Saccharomyces cerevisiae S288C: one gene and its partners. The protein of the gene in region 2 interacts with the protein of the main gene of each other region in a biochemical or structural test. Each region holds a gene or a part of one and is shown on either strand. Other genes may lie near its edges.

Region 1 (7,036 bases), on a different chromosome or scaffold from region 2:
TTTTTTTTTTTGATCTAAATACACAATACATACATTTGCAACCGAGAGAGATAGAATATGTAGAAATAATAAGATGGCGTTGTCTCTATAATGCTTTTCTATTGTTTAGTAAGCTACAAGAAGTAATCAACATGTCTGTTAGAAGCAGATCTGGCTTGGTATACATCTGAAAATATGTACATTTCAGGGTCCGTGGAGCCATCTGCGGAGGCAGAGTCGTCTTCGAAATAATCTGCAATCAATTTCCTGTTGGCTACCGGATTAGATATGCTATCTTCTAAGGCATTGTCGTTCATACTGTTCTCTTTCAACAGTTTATTTTCAGGTGCCTCTTCGAAAACGTTGAAGTAGAATTGATCTTTACTATACAGCTCCAGAATAGATGCTTTATTGCCGCACCGATAACAATAGTTTGGCGCCGACCATACAGTAGTAACCAATCCATCAAAATATATCTGGTAACCTTCGTTACATAACTGATGGGCTCTGTATATTCTGTTCATATCGTTCATACGTAAGAATTTCTCCACCACGCTTCTTCCGAAAGTATAACCTGCTCCACGAGGTGACACCTGGAAATGTTGTCCAGAGTTATCTGGATGATCTAACGTGGGGTTATTGTTTTCTTCCGGATCAGACCAAACCAAGTCTGCCATGGCGCCATCGTGTGGAATTTCTCGAAATCTATCAATAATCTTGATCTGATCTATGGTTTGAACATTGGGCGAGAGCCCACCATGAACACAAAAAATTTCGTCGTCGATAATACAGCATAACACTAGATAGTCAAATATATCTGTCAAATATTGCCAAACTCTTGAATTGCCACCGTACTTGTTCAAGCACTCCGTGTAGAAACCATAGCTCTGCGTGATTTGACGTGACTCGTGGTTTCCCCTCAAAAGATGAATTCTACTAGGATATCGAAGCTTAAGCACAATCAATAGCATAATTGTTTCCACACTGTACAACCCCCTGTCTACATAGTCGCCCAAGAACAGATAATTCGTATCAGGAACAGGGCCGCCTATTTGGAAGATCTCCAGCATATCGTGAAACTGTCCATGCATATCCCCCACGACTGTGACAGGGGTCTGAATGTGAATCACGTTTGACTCCTTCACTAGCATTTCCTTCAGCTTAAAGCAGAGTGCCCTTACAGTCACTTCAGGTAGTAACTGGGCCTTGTATAGCCTTTCTAAACATTCGTCCAATTCCATCTCTACTGGGCCAATTCTCTAACCAAAAATAAAAGTACACAGTGGGGATACAACTGCAATGAGTGGAACTTAATAAACAGTCACGAACTGTTCCAAATTACCTACAACTCGCTGAAAATACCGCGTTTCATACCCTGAAACAGTGGGTATTTTAGCAGTTTTGCATTATTAATTACTGCTCCATCACCCGGGAAACTCGCGCCACTTTTCGGGCGTTTCTTTGTATGGAAAGAATTGATTAATCTGAAAAGAGTGATAAAGGTGGGTAAACAGAGATAGAAAGAAGCCAAATCTGCAGATTAGAAGAGGTTAGAAGATTGTAATTGTTGCTGCCCCAGTGTGTTATTGCCTTAGAGAGTAGTACTGTTAAAGAACAGCTAAGAACGGGTGTTTTCAAAACGAATTACTGGTTTACAAAGAATTCAAAGGAAAAAAAAAGGTTCCAGCATATTTGTTAACTTTTGTGTGAGCTCCGTCTGTCCTTCAAGTTACTATTGGGCAGTTTCAAGTACAAACAGTCTGCCATTACTAAAAAGAAGAGAAGCCTTTGCGTAAACTATTTGACAGGCACAAATAATGTCGCATTCAGACTACTTCAATTATAAGCCTTACGGCGATTCCACGGAAAAGCCCAGCAGCTCCAAGATGAGGCAGTCATCTTCATCATCTTCATCTAGACTAAGGTCGGAAAGTTTAGGGCGAAATTCCAATACTACGCAGGCTCGAGTAGCGTCATCGCCCATCAGCCCAGGGCTGCATTCTACCCAGTACTTTAGATCACCAAACGCTGTTTACAGCCCTGGAGAGTCTCCATTAAATACAGTACAGCTATTCAATCGTCTTCCGGGTATACCTCAAGGTCAGTTTTTTCATCAAAATGCCATTTCTGGGTCCTCCAGCTCCTCGGCAAGATCTAGTAGACGGCCCTCGAATATTGGTCTTCCTCTACCAAAAAATCCTCAGCAGTCTCTACCGAAGTTGTCTACTCAACCTGTTCCTGTACATAAGAAAGTTGAGGCTAGTAAAACAGAGAGCGAGATTATTAAGAAGCCCGCTCCCGTGAATAGTAATCAAGATCCATTATTGACGACCCCAACGTTAGTGATATCACCAGAACTGGCTTCACTAAATACAACGAATACATCGATTATGTCAACGCCACAAAATATTACAAACCAAACTTCGAACAAACACATTCCCACCAGATCGCAACCAAATGGGTCAACAAGTTCCTCCACTTTGCAGGATATTGTCACGACAAATAGCTCGCAACGGTCTGTAGGCCACCATGGTGGAAGCACAACGAGCCTCCGAACATACAAAAAACAATATGTATTAAATGAACAGTTATATTTAAGAAAAATGAGAAACCGTGCTAATGATGATTATTACACTAGAGGTATAGTCGCATCATCCAACTTTGAAGATGACGAAGAAAATTTTAGTAACAAAGGTGAAGATGACTTAGAACTAGAAATGGATGATCTTTTAAAGGTAGAAGGTGAGGATAAAGATAACGACTTCAATTTTGGTTATAATTTTATTACGTCGAGCACAAAAAATAATGAAAATGTTGTTTCGATGAGCCTAAATTATCTAAAGGGCAAATTGGATTGGTTGAGGGATGTGAACAATGATCAACCGTGTGAAATAGAAGATGAGGAGTGGCATTCCATACTGGGGAGCGAGGATTTGCTGTCAAAATTGTTACAAAATCCTATGGTGAACAACCGATTTGAATGGCAAACAATGTTATCTAAGGTACTGAAGGGAGATATTGTGAGGAATGAAAAAACGAAGATTGCAAATCAAGGGAAAGGCCCTGGCTTCAATACTCAGTTTTCAGATGACATTTGGATTGAGTTGAAGGCATGGATGAATGGGAGGACCGTGGAAGATCAGAACAAATCTCTGAGGATTTTTAGGGATTCTACTGACTCCGTATTTCAAGAAATCATGGCCTTTAAACTAGAAGATAATATGAGCGCTGACGAGGCTGCAGAGACTATCAAATCACTAGTAGACAAATATTATAGAGTCTTAAATCTATGGCCTAACATTAAAAGAATGCATGCTGAAAAACCCATTACTAAAACAGAAGCATTCAGGAATCGAATAGATACTTTGAATAGTTGGCTTAATTTCAAATTTAACTTTGATACTAATATTGCGTACCTGAAAAAATGGATAGTTGGCAATAAAGAGCTAGAAAGCACTACCGAAGTGGATAACACCACCGTGAATTTGGATGATCCAGCCGTTTTCGCCACTAATTGTAAACGCTTTGCGGAGCAAATTATGAAGGAAAAGGATATTGAACTGATATTTCAAAAAAAAATATTCTTTCCATTAGCACCATGGATTTTGAAGGCCAAATTTTTCTTCTTGAAATACCAAAAAACTTGGAATGAATTGAATCTATCTTATTTGGATCAAGATCTGGAATTTTTATTGATGTTTCCAATGCGTTTGGTAAAAGATATAATACTAATTCGCCTATCTTACGCGAAGAAAATACAGAATCCAACCTTGATGATGATCGATCAAATGATGGACGATTTTAGTACATATATTAAGTTGGCAGTCCAAATGAAATTCACTGTTGCTTCTTACTGTAATGACTGGTTTTTTAAAGTGAAAATCGATCCCGAATTTGATCATACCGTTGTTGAAGGATTGGAATATTTTTTCTCCATTTTGGAACTGAGAATATTATATAGTGGCAAAAACTCATTCAAGACTTCTAAAGAACCTGATCTGTTATTAAAATATTGGGAAATGTTTAGAAACGTCGGCTATTATATTGATGATGCAGGCGAACTGATCGCAGCAGAATTTACGAAGTTGACACTTAGATTGGTTCACAGATTGCACGCTTACCTTTTAAGGCAGCAAAACACTCCGCCAAAATTAGAGAATGAAGCTGCTGCTGAAAAATGGCTGGTGCAAATATTCGAAATACTTGGATCCATGAAAAGAAAACTCAATAGATTCACCAATATTTTGACAAAAGCATTTCAAAATTTTGTCCGCTACAAGATAGAAGATCACAACTATCTGCTAAAGCAACTAAAAGAAACAGGCCACTTTCTTATATACACAGGAGGTTACCTAGAGCAAAATGGTACTTATTTAATTGGTAGCCCAGAGCTATTAGGCTGTAAAGATGATGATATTTTAAGAATCATTAAGAATTCAGACATCGGTTGTGATTTAGTGCCTAAGCTAGAAATTAATAACAGTCTGACAATTTATAATGCTTTGGATGATAATTGGAACTCCAACTCATCACTGGGTTCAGATATCTCGAATGATGGTACCCCATTTTATTATATCAAAAACGATTTGACCACCCAGCCTAGATCTTATAACGGTAATAGAGTCAATCGTGAACCGGATTTTGAAAACAGCAGGAGCACGGAGGAAGAGTTTTATGAACTGGAGACAAGATTGAACTCTCTTGGTTATGTATTGGTATTGACTCCGCAAGAGCCATTACTTTGGGAGGGTGAGATGTATAATCTATCCGATAACAAAACAATTAAACCAGAGGGATTGAACTTGAAAGTAATTCCTAATTCAATAGATTTGATGTGCCAAGGATCCAGTTATGCCTTAGAATACCAATGTGACAGGTTCCAACAGATATCTGGTAGCTCAGTTTCTTTCTTGGAAAAAAAATCTTCCTCAGAAACGGTTAAAAACAACTTACAAAGGATAAATAAAGCATATTTCAGATGCACGTACAGTGTTCTGAAGAACTATACAAAGATTGTGACCACGTTCAAGAAGGTAAGTCCTGTCAATGATTTATTGAATAATATTTTCCTTTTTGGGAGGGATTTTGGTCTGAACTTTTTGAGAATTAATGTTGCCAACAATGAAAAAAGATCCATTATAATACTTTTAATGATGCGGTTAAGTATCGGATGGCTGAAGTTCTTAGCTGAAGACTGTGATCCGACTGATCAAAGGGTATTTAGGTGGTGTGTCACGTCAATGGAGTTCGCGATGCATATGGTAAGCGGTTGGAACATACTAGCTCTTGATGAATGCCAATTTTCTTCTTTAAAACAAAAAATTTCAGAATGCATGTCATTACTTATTTCTCATTTTGATATAATAGGCGCACGCTCCATAGAAGTTGAGAAAATCAATCAACAAGCTAGATCAAATCTTGATTTGGAAGATGTGTTTGACGATGATATGATGCTACAAGTGAATTCCGAGTTCCGAGTACAAAGTATAATGGAATTGGAAGAAAGGATAAAGCGGAATCCTCATCAAACTGGTAAAGTAATTGATGATAGTGACAAAGGTAACAAGTACCTTGTTTCTTTGGCATCTTCCATATCGAACGTTTCTATGAGATGGCAAAAGAGGAACTTTATTGGTGGCGGTACTTTTGGAAGGGTATATTCTGCTGTTGATTTGGATAATGGTGAGATTTTAGCAGTCAAGGAAATCAATATTCAAGATAGCAAATCAATGCAAAAAATATTCCCCTTAATCAAGGAGGAAATGAGTGTCTTAGAGATATTGAACCATCCAAATATAGTTTCATATTACGGTGTTGAAGTTCATCGTGATAAAGTTAACATCTTTATGGAATATTGTGAAGGCGGTTCCCTAGCAGCTCTTTTGGAGCATGGTCGTATTGAAGATGAAATGGTCACTCAAGTCTACACTTTACAATTGCTAGAAGGACTTGCATATTTGCATGAATCCGGCATTGTTCACCGTGATGTTAAACCCGAAAACATCCTACTAGATTTTAATGGTGTTATTAAGTATGTTGATTTTGGTGCTGCTAAAAAAATTGCTAATAATGGAACTAGATTGGCAAGTATGAACAAAATCGAAAACGCAGATGGTGAACACGAAGATGTTACCCATGTTTCTGATTCAAAGGCAGTGAAAAATAACGAAAATGCTCTATTAGACATGATGGGAACTCCTATGTACATGGCTCCAGAATCCATCACTGGATCTACCACCAAAGGCAAACTTGGGGCAGACGATGTTTGGTCGTTAGGCTGCGTGGTATTAGAAATGATCACTGGTAGACGGCCATGGGCTAACTTAGATAATGAATGGGCTATCATGTACCATGTTGCTGCAGGACATACCCCACAATTCCCTACTAAGGATGAAGTGTCGTCTGCTGGTATGAAATTTCTGGAAAGATGTCTTATTCAAAACCCCTCCAAGAGAGCCAGTGCGGTTGAGCTGTTGATGGATCCTTGGATTGTACAAATTAGAGAAATAGCCTTTGGCGACGATTCTTCCTCTACAGATACTGAGGAAAGAGAGTAGTTAAGTTGAGAAGGTTTGTTGTATTATATGTAAAATCAAAATATAATGTAGTGGGGGGAGAGTATATAATGTTAATTCAAGGATAGAAGATTAATGATAGCATTTTTTTATAATTGTTTTGATTTTGAGAACAGAAATTTATAAAGGTAAGATATAAAAGTGAAAATTTGAAGTCTAGTCGAGGTGGATTAATGTAAAACGCTCGCTATATATTTTATTGGAATTGACGTTAGCTATTATCAATCAGTTTTTTCATCTTGTTTGATTCTCTTATAGGTGAAGAAGACATCGCTTTTAACAATCGAATTGGCCGTCAATTCTTTCAAAAAAACGGTAGGGGTCTTGTCGAAAATGATCTGTTTGAGTAGAGACAAAACATTCACTCTCTCTTGGAAAACAAAGTTCTTAATGTAGGTTGGGTCAAATCCAGTAAACATCTTTGTTGTGTTAACTAGCTCCCAATGGTTGGTAGTCTTATTCTCGAATGGCAATTGAGAGGC
Region 2 (8,499 bases):
GGCACACCAAAATAGCAGTTCAGAAGTGAGAAATGAGGCAGCGGTCCCAGATCAACTTTTGACTCCTTTACAACCGTATACCATTTTATTGAAAGATGGAGAAACAATAGCTACGATGTATCCTATACCTGCGTATCCTGATTTATTGCCGCTAGGGCTCTTAAATTTCCTTCTAGATGAATTTAACATGGAAGTGGAAAAGGGAGATAGTTTTCCTTATTACGAGACTTTATCACTAGAAGAATTCAAAAATGTCTGGTTTCATAATGATGGTCACGTTTGTATTATGGTGTTAGGCGAAATACCAGAACTGGATTATAGTATGGATACTGAAGCGGACACAAATGATAATTTTGGAACAGAAATAGAAACCACGAAGCACACCACCCAATATAAGAAACGAAAAGAACGTCGCAATTTAAATCTAAGTATGCAGTGGGAGAAGCAATGTCTAGGCATATTTGACCTCAAACCAGCATACCCTGGACGGTCAGCGCATGTGGTCACAGGAACATTTCTGGTCAATGCTGGTATTCGTGGAAAAGGTATTGGGAAAACACTAATGGAAACATTCATAGAATGGTCAAAGAAATTAGGATTTACGTCCTCCTTTTTCCCGTTAATTTACGGAACGAACGTAGGAATCAGAAGAATTTTGGAAGGATTGAACTTTAGGCGGATTGGAAAGCTGCCTGAAGCCGGGATTCTCAAGGGCTTTGATGTCCCAGTAGATTCTTTCATGTATGGTAAAGAGTTCACACATATTACGAAAAGTATAGATTTGTTACGAGATCCTCAAAAGAGTATCGAAATTGGGAAATATGAACGATTAAAGCATTTTCTGGAAACAGGCAAGTATCCTTTACATTGTGATAGAAACGAAAAGGCTAGATTAAGAGTACTTTCCAAAACTCATTCGGTATTGAATGGCAAGTTGATGACAAAAGGAAAAGAAATCATTTATGACACGGATCAACAAATCCAGATTGCATTAGAGATACATTTAATGGAACATTTAGGCATCAACAAGGTGACCTCCAAAATTGGTGAAAAATACCATTGGAGAGGAATCAAGAGTACTGTTTCGGAGGTAATCTCTCGGTGCCAAAAATGCAAGATGAGGTACAAAGACGGGACAGGGGTAATAATTGAACAAAAGAGAGCAGTTAAGCAGGCGCATATGCTACCGACGCAGCATATAGAAACTATCAACAATCCAAGAAAAAGCAAGAAGCATGATAATGCGTTATTGGGACAGGCAATAAATTTCCCTCAAAATATTATTTCCAGTACGCTGAATGATGTGGAGGGTGAACCCACTCCGCCAGACACTAATATCGTACAACCCACATTCCAGAACGCCACGAATAGTCCCGCAACAACAGCTGAAGCCAACGAAGCGAATAAAAGATCCGAGTTTCTTTCCTCAATACAGAGCACGCCACTATTGGACGACGAACAGTCAATGAATTCCTTCAATAGATTCGTGGAGGAAGAAAACTCAAGAAAAAGACGAAAATACTTGGATGTTGCCTCCAACGGAATTGTACCCCATTTAACGAATAACGAATCGCAGGATCACGCGAACCCCGTCAACCGTGATGAACGAGATATGAACCATTCAGTTCCCGATTTAGATAGAAATGACCATACTATAATGAACGATGCTATGTTGAGCCTCGAAGATAACGTCATGGCCGCTCTAGAAATGGTCCAAAAGGAACAACAACAGAAGATAAATCATCGAGGTGAAGATGTGACTGGCCAACAAATCGATTTGAACAACAGTGAAGGTAATGAGAATTCAGTCACTAAGATTGTTAACAACGAATCTAATACATTTACAGAGCACAATTCTAATATTTATTATTAAATTGCGACTCTGCCAGAGACGGTCACATCACCAACCCTAGAAACTATAAAGTTTGTACAGAAAAAAGGTACATTTAATGATGCGTCCACTTTTGGAACAGGGTTGACAAGTCTTAAATCTTATTTCAGAAGTGATTTTTGAAGTAAAATTGGAAACTGAAATTGGAAACAAGGCACTCAACTCAATTATGCTTGCATGACGAAAGGTTCTGTTACAGTTTTACGTTGAAACCTAGGTACTGCAGAAATCCATAATCGGAGATAAATAACTAAGCTTTGTGCTGCAAAATTTTCCAGATTAGGAAACCTGATCCTCAGTGCCCTTTTAAGTACTGCTGTATCTGATGCCGTGAACGAGACACTATTGGCTGCGTGGGCACGTACCAAGTATACTCATCAAAATTTGTCTTAGGTTTTCCGATGCGGAAAATGGCAGCGCACAATTTAAATAGAAAAGGAGTTAAATGTACAGCAGCAAAATCAGTCACTCACGGAGAAAAGCTACGGTAGCGTAACGAAGAGCACATTGCTACTAGCAGCCAGCTAGATAATTGCAGCAGTGTACAGTTTACGCGACAATAAAGAAAGCATGATTTTCTTTTTCAACCAGATCCGTTCAATATTTACAGCTTTGCATACGCCAACTCAACAGATCCAATTATCAAGAAGGGCCTTTTTCCAATTCTTAGGCTATTTGGGTAGTTGTGTTGTGATTTCATTAGCAGCTCAATCGAAATACGTGCAGTAAGAAATGAAATAATGACCTGCAACAGTCCTTCTTGAGATGGAATGAAGTAATTGCTCTTTGAACGAGAGCACAAAAGCAAGCAGAAGTCGCGTATGTCAAGCCCATGATATAGCTGCTTAGATATATAGGTAGATATAAATAAGCACAATGGCTACAGTAATTGTGCGGTGCAGGGAGGCAATGTTTAGTGCATCTCCTCTACATCATTTCTATTTTTAATCTCGTCCACGAGAACGATTTAAGGAAATGGGGCTTCAAAAATAAAAAAATCAAATGAAAGTAATAATCTTTCAGCTTAGACTTATTTTTAGTTGAAACACTTGAATAAGAGTGCAGACACTCAATCGTGGTGTAGCTACAAGAACATATGGTGGCGTGTTTCTGCTGCAACTGTCAAGATCGTCTGTGTCTTAATGAGGTGATATATAGAACTGCTGAATACGGAGCCGTTTGTCTTTTACTGCGGGATTAACTTCAACAGCTACGGCCGAAGCCAATTCTGGCAAAAGGCAATGACTAAGTCTTGTTTCTCATGTAGATTACTATTTTGAGCGTGTTGCTTTTCTGTTCCCCTTGAGCATAGCAGCAGGCACGGAAGCATACAGAATATTCACTAACATGAGAACAACTCATTACTAGACTACTACCAGTTACTACACATCGATACAACTCCCCAGAAATATCACTGTTGAGAGTTCATGTCAAGACGTAGTATAGTATTGCAACAGGAAAAAAAAATCTTATTGCGTAGCACTCTGTATCTATTTTATATATCTGTTTCTATATTTGATTAATCTCTTGTTATCTTGGTGATGATCGCACAAGTATGTACTCCTGTATCTGCAAGAATATCTGTTTTAAACTTTTCAAAGCAAGGAAACCCCGTCTTATATAGGTTATCCGCAAAGGTCACATTTTCTTGCAAATAGAAGAAAAAGCACCCACAAGCACACTAACACAGTGCCAGAGCAAAACTATATCCTTTGCATCCGATCTCAAACGCTGTTCTTATCGCATCTGTCTTCGTCCTTTCATCTGCATTTACCTTTTCTTTTTCATCCTCTATTTGCCTTTTCATTAGTGGCAATTTTTCCAGTTTTTTCCCTCTGCGTCCCGTTGCACCTGAAAGGATCTTTCTAACGTGTGTTGTCTACTAGTGAGCGATTTCGTGAGCCATACACGTTCTATAGAAAATTGAATAAACTTTACTTCAAAGGGATCTGGACACAGAGATAACTGCTTACCTGCTTGCCGGAAGAAAAGAATTACTAAAAAAGAAGACAAGGGTAGCTGCTATTGTGGGTACACGTTTCACAGAACTACTTTTTCCTTGTCCTTCTCCAGACATCAACGTCATACAACTAAAACTGATAAAGTACCCGTTTTTCCGTACATTTCTATAGATACATTATTATATTAAGCAGATCGAGACGTTAATTTCTCAAAGATGGAAGACAAGTTTGCTAACCTCAGTCTCCATGAGAAAACTGGTAAGTCATCTATCCAATTAAACGAGCAAACAGGCTCAGATAATGGCTCTGCTGTCAAGAGAACATCTTCGACGTCCTCGCACTACAATAACATCAACGCTGACCTTCATGCTCGTGTAAAAGCTTTTCAAGAACAACGTGCATTGAAAAGGTCTGCCAGCGTGGGCAGTAATCAAAGCGAGCAAGACAAAGGCAGTTCACAATCACCTAAACATATTCAGCAGATTGTTAATAAGCCATTGCCGCCTCTTCCCGTAGCAGGAAGTTCTAAGGTTTCACAAAGAATGAGTAGCCAAGTCGTGCAAGCGTCCTCCAAGAGCACTCTTAAGAACGTTCTGGACAATCAAGAAACACAAAACATTACCGACGTAAATATTAACATCGATACAACCAAAATTACCGCCACAACAATTGGTGTAAATACTGGCCTACCTGCTACTGACATTACGCCGTCAGTTTCTAATACTGCATCAGCAACACATAAGGCGCAATTGCTGAATCCTAACAGAAGGGCACCAAGAAGGCCGCTTTCTACCCAGCACCCTACAAGACCAAATGTTGCCCCGCATAAGGCCCCTGCTATAATCAACACACCAAAACAAAGTTTAAGTGCCCGTCGAGGGCTCAAATTACCACCAGGAGGAATGTCATTAAAAATGCCCACTAAAACAGCTCAACAGCCGCAGCAGTTTGCCCCAAGCCCTTCAAACAAAAAACATATAGAAACCTTATCAAACAGCAAAGTTGTTGAAGGGAAAAGATCGAATCCGGGTTCTTTGATAAATGGTGTGCAAAGCACATCCACCTCATCAAGTACCGAAGGCCCACATGACACTGTAGGCACTACACCCAGAACTGGAAACAGCAACAACTCTTCAAATTCTGGTAGTAGTGGTGGTGGTGGTCTTTTCGCAAATTTCTCGAAATACGTGGATATCAAATCCGGCTCTTTGAATTTTGCAGGCAAACTATCGCTATCCTCTAAAGGAATAGATTTCAGCAATGGTTCTAGTTCGAGAATTACATTGGACGAACTAGAATTTTTGGATGAACTGGGTCATGGTAACTATGGTAACGTCTCAAAGGTACTGCATAAGCCCACAAATGTTATTATGGCGACGAAGGAAGTCCGTTTGGAGCTAGATGAGGCTAAATTTAGACAAATTTTAATGGAACTAGAAGTTTTGCATAAATGCAATTCTCCCTATATTGTGGATTTTTATGGTGCATTCTTTATTGAGGGCGCCGTCTACATGTGTATGGAATACATGGATGGTGGTTCCTTGGATAAAATATACGACGAATCATCTGAAATCGGCGGCATTGATGAACCTCAGCTAGCGTTTATTGCCAATGCTGTCATTCATGGACTAAAAGAACTCAAAGAGCAGCATAATATCATACACAGAGATGTCAAACCAACAAATATTTTATGTTCAGCCAACCAAGGCACCGTAAAGCTGTGCGATTTCGGTGTTTCTGGTAATTTGGTGGCATCTTTAGCGAAGACTAATATTGGTTGTCAGTCATACATGGCACCTGAACGAATCAAATCGTTGAATCCAGATAGAGCCACCTATACCGTACAGTCAGACATCTGGTCTTTAGGTTTAAGCATTCTGGAAATGGCACTAGGTAGATATCCGTATCCACCAGAAACATACGACAACATTTTCTCTCAATTGAGCGCTATTGTTGATGGGCCGCCACCGAGATTACCTTCAGATAAATTCAGTTCTGACGCACAAGATTTTGTTTCTTTATGTCTACAAAAGATTCCGGAAAGAAGACCTACATACGCAGCTTTAACAGAGCATCCTTGGTTAGTAAAATACAGAAACCAGGATGTCCACATGAGTGAGTATATCACTGAACGATTAGAAAGGCGCAACAAAATCTTACGGGAACGTGGTGAGAATGGTTTATCTAAAAATGTACCGGCATTACATATGGGTGGTTTATAGCGTTAATATCCAAATAAAAGCAAACAGGCACGTGAATATAACAACAAAAAAAAAGCAGACGAAAAGCTACTGTGGAAATGATGCGGCGAATACAAAAAAACCTTACATATACATATGTTTATTGTAATAAACTTGCATTATACTCGTTATAGACATATATATATATATATATTCATATATATATATCGTCTGACTTCCTTTTGTCGAACCTAAAAAAGGGCACGAATTATGACAGAGTATTGAGGGGATGTTATTTCAAGCACCGGCAAGTGAAGCGATGTGGACGTCAATATATTGTGTTATTCGATTATTGCTACGGCCATCGACTCCTCGAAATTATTTACGTTCGGGGCTGACAACGCAAGAAAGAAAAAATGCTCTGGAATTGTCTGATGGTTTTTCCGCTCTTTACGGCTCAAGGCTAGGAAAGAAAAAAAAGTCCAAAATCATCGAGAAAATAAAAGGTGTTTTGAAAGTTCAAATCCACGTTATTGAGAGTAGATGTGGAGTCTGGACCAGGAACTATACCTGTATCTTACCCTAACTTCTAAATTTTGCTACTTTCACGGAAAACAGTAAATAATTACCTATCAAGATAAAGAGCTCTTACATTATTAGAAACTTTTTGTTACTGTTGCTTTCCTTTCGCCCATTGTTTTTACCTTACCATTAGCATCACTGATTCCACACTTGTATTGCCTTAAAAAGAAGGAGGGTATTCTATTGGCTCTCAAGGAAGTCATTCCTATCCATTTTACTTAAAGTTATTACCTTTTTTTGATAACTAACAATGCATTTTAGAAGAACGATGAGTAGAGTGCCCACATTGGCATCTCTTGAAATACGATATAAAAAATCTTTCGGCCATAAATTTCGTGATTTTATTGCTCTATGTGGTCACTATTTTGCTCCAGTTAAAAAATATATCTTCCCCAGTTTTATCGCGGTTCACTACTTCTACACGATATCCCTGACATTAATAACTTCAATCCTGCTATATCCCATTAAGAATACCAGATACATTGATACATTGTTTTTAGCAGCGGGCGCAGTTACACAAGGTGGCTTAAATACTGTGGATATCAACAATCTAAGCTTATACCAACAAATTGTTCTGTATATCGTATGCTGCATATCAACACCAATTGCAGTTCATAGTTGCTTGGCATTTGTACGGCTTTACTGGTTTGAGCGCTACTTCGATGGTATTAGAGACTCTTCTAGACGAAATTTTAAGATGAGAAGAACGAAAACAATCTTAGAAAGGGAACTAACAGCAAGAACCATGACCAAGAATAGAACAGGTACCCAAAGAACGTCTTATCCTAGGAAACAAGCTAAAACAGATGATTTCCAAGAAAAATTGTTCAGCGGAGAAATGGTTAATAGAGATGAGCAGGACTCAGTTCACAGCGACCAGAATTCTCATGACATTAGTAGGGACAGCAGCAATAATAATACGAATCACAATGGTAGCAGTGGCAGTTTAGATGATTTCGTTAAGGAAGACGAAACGGATGACAATGGAGAATATCAGGAGAACAACTCCTACTCGACGGTAGGTAGTTCGTCTAACACAGTTGCAGACGAAAGTTTAAATCAGAAGCCCAAGCCAAGCAGTCTTCGGTTTGATGAGCCACACAGCAAACAAAGACCCGCAAGAGTTCCCTCAGAGAAATTTGCAAAAAGAAGGGGTTCAAGAGATATTAGCCCAGCCGATATGTATCGATCCATTATGATGCTACAAGGTAAGCATGAAGCAACTGCTGAAGATGAAGGTCCCCCTTTAGTCATCGGGTCCCCTGCGGATGGCACAAGATATAAAAGTAATGTCAATAAGCTAAAGAAGGCCACCGGCATAAATGGTAACAAAATCAAGATTCGAGATAAGGGAAATGAAAGTAACACTGATCAAAATTCCGTGTCAAGTGAAGCAAACAGTACGGCGAGCGTTTCGGACGAAAGCTCGTTACACACAAATTTTGGTAACAAAGTACCTTCATTAAGAACAAATACTCATAGATCAAATTCGGGCCCGATAGCCATTACTGATAACGCAGAAACAGACAAAAAGCATGGGCCATCAATTCAATTCGATATAACTAAACCTCCTAGAAAAATTTCAAAAAGAGTTTCAACCTTCGATGATTTGAACCCAAAATCTTCCGTTCTTTATCGAAAAAAAGCATCGAAGAAGTACCTCATGAAACATTTTCCTAAAGCGCGGCGAATACGGCAACAAATTAAGAGAAGGCTTTCTACTGGTTCAATTGAGAAAAACAGCAGTAACAATGTTTCAGATAGAAAACCTATTACTGATATGGATGATGATGATGATGACGATGACAACGACGGCGATAACAACGAAGAATACTTTGCTGACAACGAAAGCGGCGATGAAGATGAACGAGTACAGCAGTCTGAA
Region 3 (2,880 bases), on a different chromosome or scaffold from region 2:
ATCAAAGACAAACCGAAGGATAAACCATTTCAAAAGGAATGGTTTCATGATACTTTAGTGAATGATCCAAATATCTATCACACTTCAAGGTTCGTTCCCGCTGTAGGGAATATTCTTTCAAAGGTTATAGCGAATCCATTGTTATTGAGCGAACAATACTTCCCATATTTAAAGGACAAGCCAATTGAGTTATTGAATGAAGAAGAATTCCAAGCAGGCTTAGCGAATACCTCTGCTAACTCCTCCTCATCCTTAAGGAATCCCCGTCACAAGGCAGCTTGGACCACGAAAAGCTCTAATATAAAAAAAAACATACCTAGACAAAGATTCTTCTACTATGTTATTGGTGGTATATCAATTCCCGAAATTAAAGCTGCTTATGATCAATCAAACTTGAAGAACAGAGATATCTTTATTGGCAGCGACGAGATATTAACACCAACAAAATTCTTAGATGAAGTGGAACGTTTACAAAATCCTAGAGAATTTTTCAAATTCAAGGAAGATCAGCGCCAGCAAGTAAACCCGCCTGATTTCCTTCTAAGGGAAATGAAACCGGTGGCACAACCAGTCTCTCATGTTCATTTAAAAAGCCAAGACAATAGTCCTAAGTCTGGTACTTCTAGTCCCAAAGCAGCAGGTTCTCTCAAGTCAGAACCACCCGAAAAAGAGAAGAAACGTAGCAAATTCTCGAGGTTCTTGAAAAGAAAATCTCACCATGATAAATGATCCCTTAAAGAAGACAGTGATAAAAAAAATCACTTGCTCTTGTCAAAAAAAAAAGATATAAACGTACTATTTATGTATCGTTCCTATGTACTATCTAACATGCTTATGGAGAAATTCTTGATGATATTCAGATTTTGTCATATCGTTAATGTATCCGGACGCTGATTTTTTTGTTGCATGTTCCTTAATATTTGTCTCTTTGGTTACTTTATGGCGTCCAAACGCCGTGCCCTTTCTCCACGATCGCCTAGACGAATTTCCTCCCTTTAATTGTTCATTTCCTTCAAGCTCTGCTTTATCTTCCACTTTATTTTTTTGAGTAACCAGCAGCTCTTGCAACGAGTCTTTTTGGTCTTTCTCACTGCGGGTTTCTTGGAGGTTCCCACTCCCCACAACATCCTGTTTCTCTTCGTTCATTACTGCCTCCTCTAAAGATTTATCGTTGCTCCTATCTTCTTGCGCACAGTTTGCTCTAAGATTTTCCTCCTCTTTAAATTTCCTGTATTTTAATGTTGTATGTCCTGGTAGTAATCTGGCATGCTCGATGCCTGTTGGTGTATAAGCGGCCGCTTTTGCACCGCTTCTTGCTTCTAACTGTGGTCTGTGTGATGTGGTCATGGTCTTGTAGCCCTTTCAAATGCCAGCCTCTGAGCAAGTTCTTTATGGAGCCTTTTGGAGCTTTGTCATTCCTATTTCCTTTTCGTGAAGAGATAGACTATTATTTTTAGTCACACCAACTTATTTTTCCAGTTGCGAGAAATGGAGAATTCACTTCAGAAGTAGCTTGTAATGGACAATGCAACACAGTGCACAGTAACAACACGCTCAATCACACATAATAACAGCTACCAATAAAACGTGATAGATACTAACAAATTTTAAGTATTTTTCTCAACTTTACCTTACTTTAACTTCCACTGACATATTTATTGAATCTACGATGGCAACGATGGAAACGACCACACAAAAAGATACCAATATTTTGAAATCTGGTCTCAAAAAAACTATAGGTGTTCTCAATGAGGCAGTATTACAGAACGGGAGAGAGGTGGAGGCAGTGCAGGCAGGAAATAGTGACACAATGGAAGATACAGAAACAACCACAATAGGTTATATATCAATCAAAGATTATGCGTACGCAGATTCGAATCCTCTCCATTATGGTTATTTTGATGGAGACAATGAGGAGGATGAAATGGTTTCAGATTCTTCAAATGGAGAAGACACATACAATAAAAGACAAAGTATAACACTACCAGACGACTACATAGTTAACCAACGTGCTGTTGCCCTCTACGATTTCGAACCCGAAAATGATAATGAATTGAGATTGGCTGAGGGTGACATCGTATTTATCAGTTACAAGCATGGGCAAGGTTGGCTAGTAGCAGAAAATGAGTCAGGATCAAAAACAGGGTTGGTACCGGAGGAGTTTGTCTCTTATATACAGCCGGAAGATGGTGAGAACGAGGTGGAGAATAAGGCTCGACCTTTCTATTTGACACATTTGATTACACAGAGCGTTAGTCCTAAAAACAATATTGATAACACTAACGAAGATGAATACGACGACAACGATGAATGGGAAGATATTGATGATGTTGCGGAGGTCGAAGCAGATATGAAAACAAAATTAGATATATCGGATTGAATACAAATTCCAATTGGTTATGACAGTAAAATACTCACTAAAAACAGATAAAGAGGTCACCACCCTGGCGGTATGCCTGGCCGAATCTTCTTCCATCTGTTCTATGTCATAATTTCCGTTTCTTACGGATATATACATATATATCAGTGTATGTACTTATGCATATGTTAAATTAGAAGACTATTAGTCAGAATATTCTTCCTCTATGTCCAACTCTTCCAAGTCTTCATTCTCATTCACTAAATCACCCTTCTTGATTTGTGTTAACTCACTTGGATCTAGAGGACCACCAATTTCTTGGAGTAAAGCATTAGCACCGCCCAATAATTCTTGCACAATTTCATCTTTGCTGTCAGCATTGACACCTGCTTGCAATGCAAAACTTAGCGCTAATCTTGAGTCATAGATTAACTGGGAGATTGGTTCGTGGGATAAATCCAAAGGAACTTCTTGAATGAGTTGGTTAAACTCGTATATATTTTCCGGACGCAGGCTTACTT

The links. The genes of interacting proteins can lie anywhere in the genome.
Region 1: of the proteins of PBS2 (region 2) and SSK2, one has a biochemical effect on the other in vitro, tested with the Saccharomyces cerevisiae proteins (4 studies listed by BioGRID, with this or other methods).
Region 3: the proteins of PBS2 (region 2) and NBP2 form a complex in vitro, tested with the Saccharomyces cerevisiae proteins (3 studies listed by BioGRID, with this or other methods).

Annotation. Positions count from the first base shown.
Region 1 is NC_001146.8:680,194-687,229, reverse strand, and holds SSK2 (mitogen-activated protein kinase kinase kinase SSK2), read left to right. Parts: upstream 1-1,796; coding exon 1,797-6,536; downstream 6,537-7,036. Other genes in the region: putative serine/threonine-protein kinase PPG1, read right to left, coding at 114-1,220; ALG12 (dolichyl-P-Man:Man(7)GlcNAc(2)-PP-dolichol alpha-1,6-mannosyltransferase), read right to left, coding at 6,776-7,036. UniProt on the Saccharomyces cerevisiae protein: Kinase involved in a signal transduction pathway that is activated by changes in the osmolarity of the extracellular environment. Activates the PBS2 MAP kinase kinase by phosphorylation.
Region 2 is NC_001142.9:175,672-184,170, reverse strand, and holds PBS2 (mitogen-activated protein kinase kinase PBS2), read left to right. Parts: upstream 1-4,067; coding exon 4,068-6,074; downstream 6,075-8,499. Other genes in the region: SPT10 (Spt10p), read left to right, coding at 1-1,873; MCO6 (Mco6p), read left to right, coding at 2,462-2,620; TRK1 (Trk1p), read left to right, coding at 6,865-8,499. UniProt on the Saccharomyces cerevisiae protein: Kinase involved in a signal transduction pathway that is activated by changes in the osmolarity of the extracellular environment. Activates the MAP kinase HOG1 by concomitant phosphorylation at 'Thr-174' and 'Tyr-176'.
Region 3 is NC_001136.10:779,890-782,769, reverse strand, and holds NBP2 (adaptor protein NBP2), read left to right. Parts: upstream 1-1,669; coding exon 1,670-2,380; downstream 2,381-2,880. Other genes in the region: SEC1 (Sec1p), read left to right, coding at 1-729; U2-type spliceosomal complex subunit CWC15, read right to left, coding at 820-1,347; ACL4 (Acl4p), read right to left, coding at 2,564-2,880. UniProt on the Saccharomyces cerevisiae protein: Negatively regulates the high-osmolarity glycerol (HOG) pathway through its negative regulation of the HOG1 kinase activity. Mediates the binding between the PTC1 phosphatase and the PBS2 MAP/ERK kinase (MEK).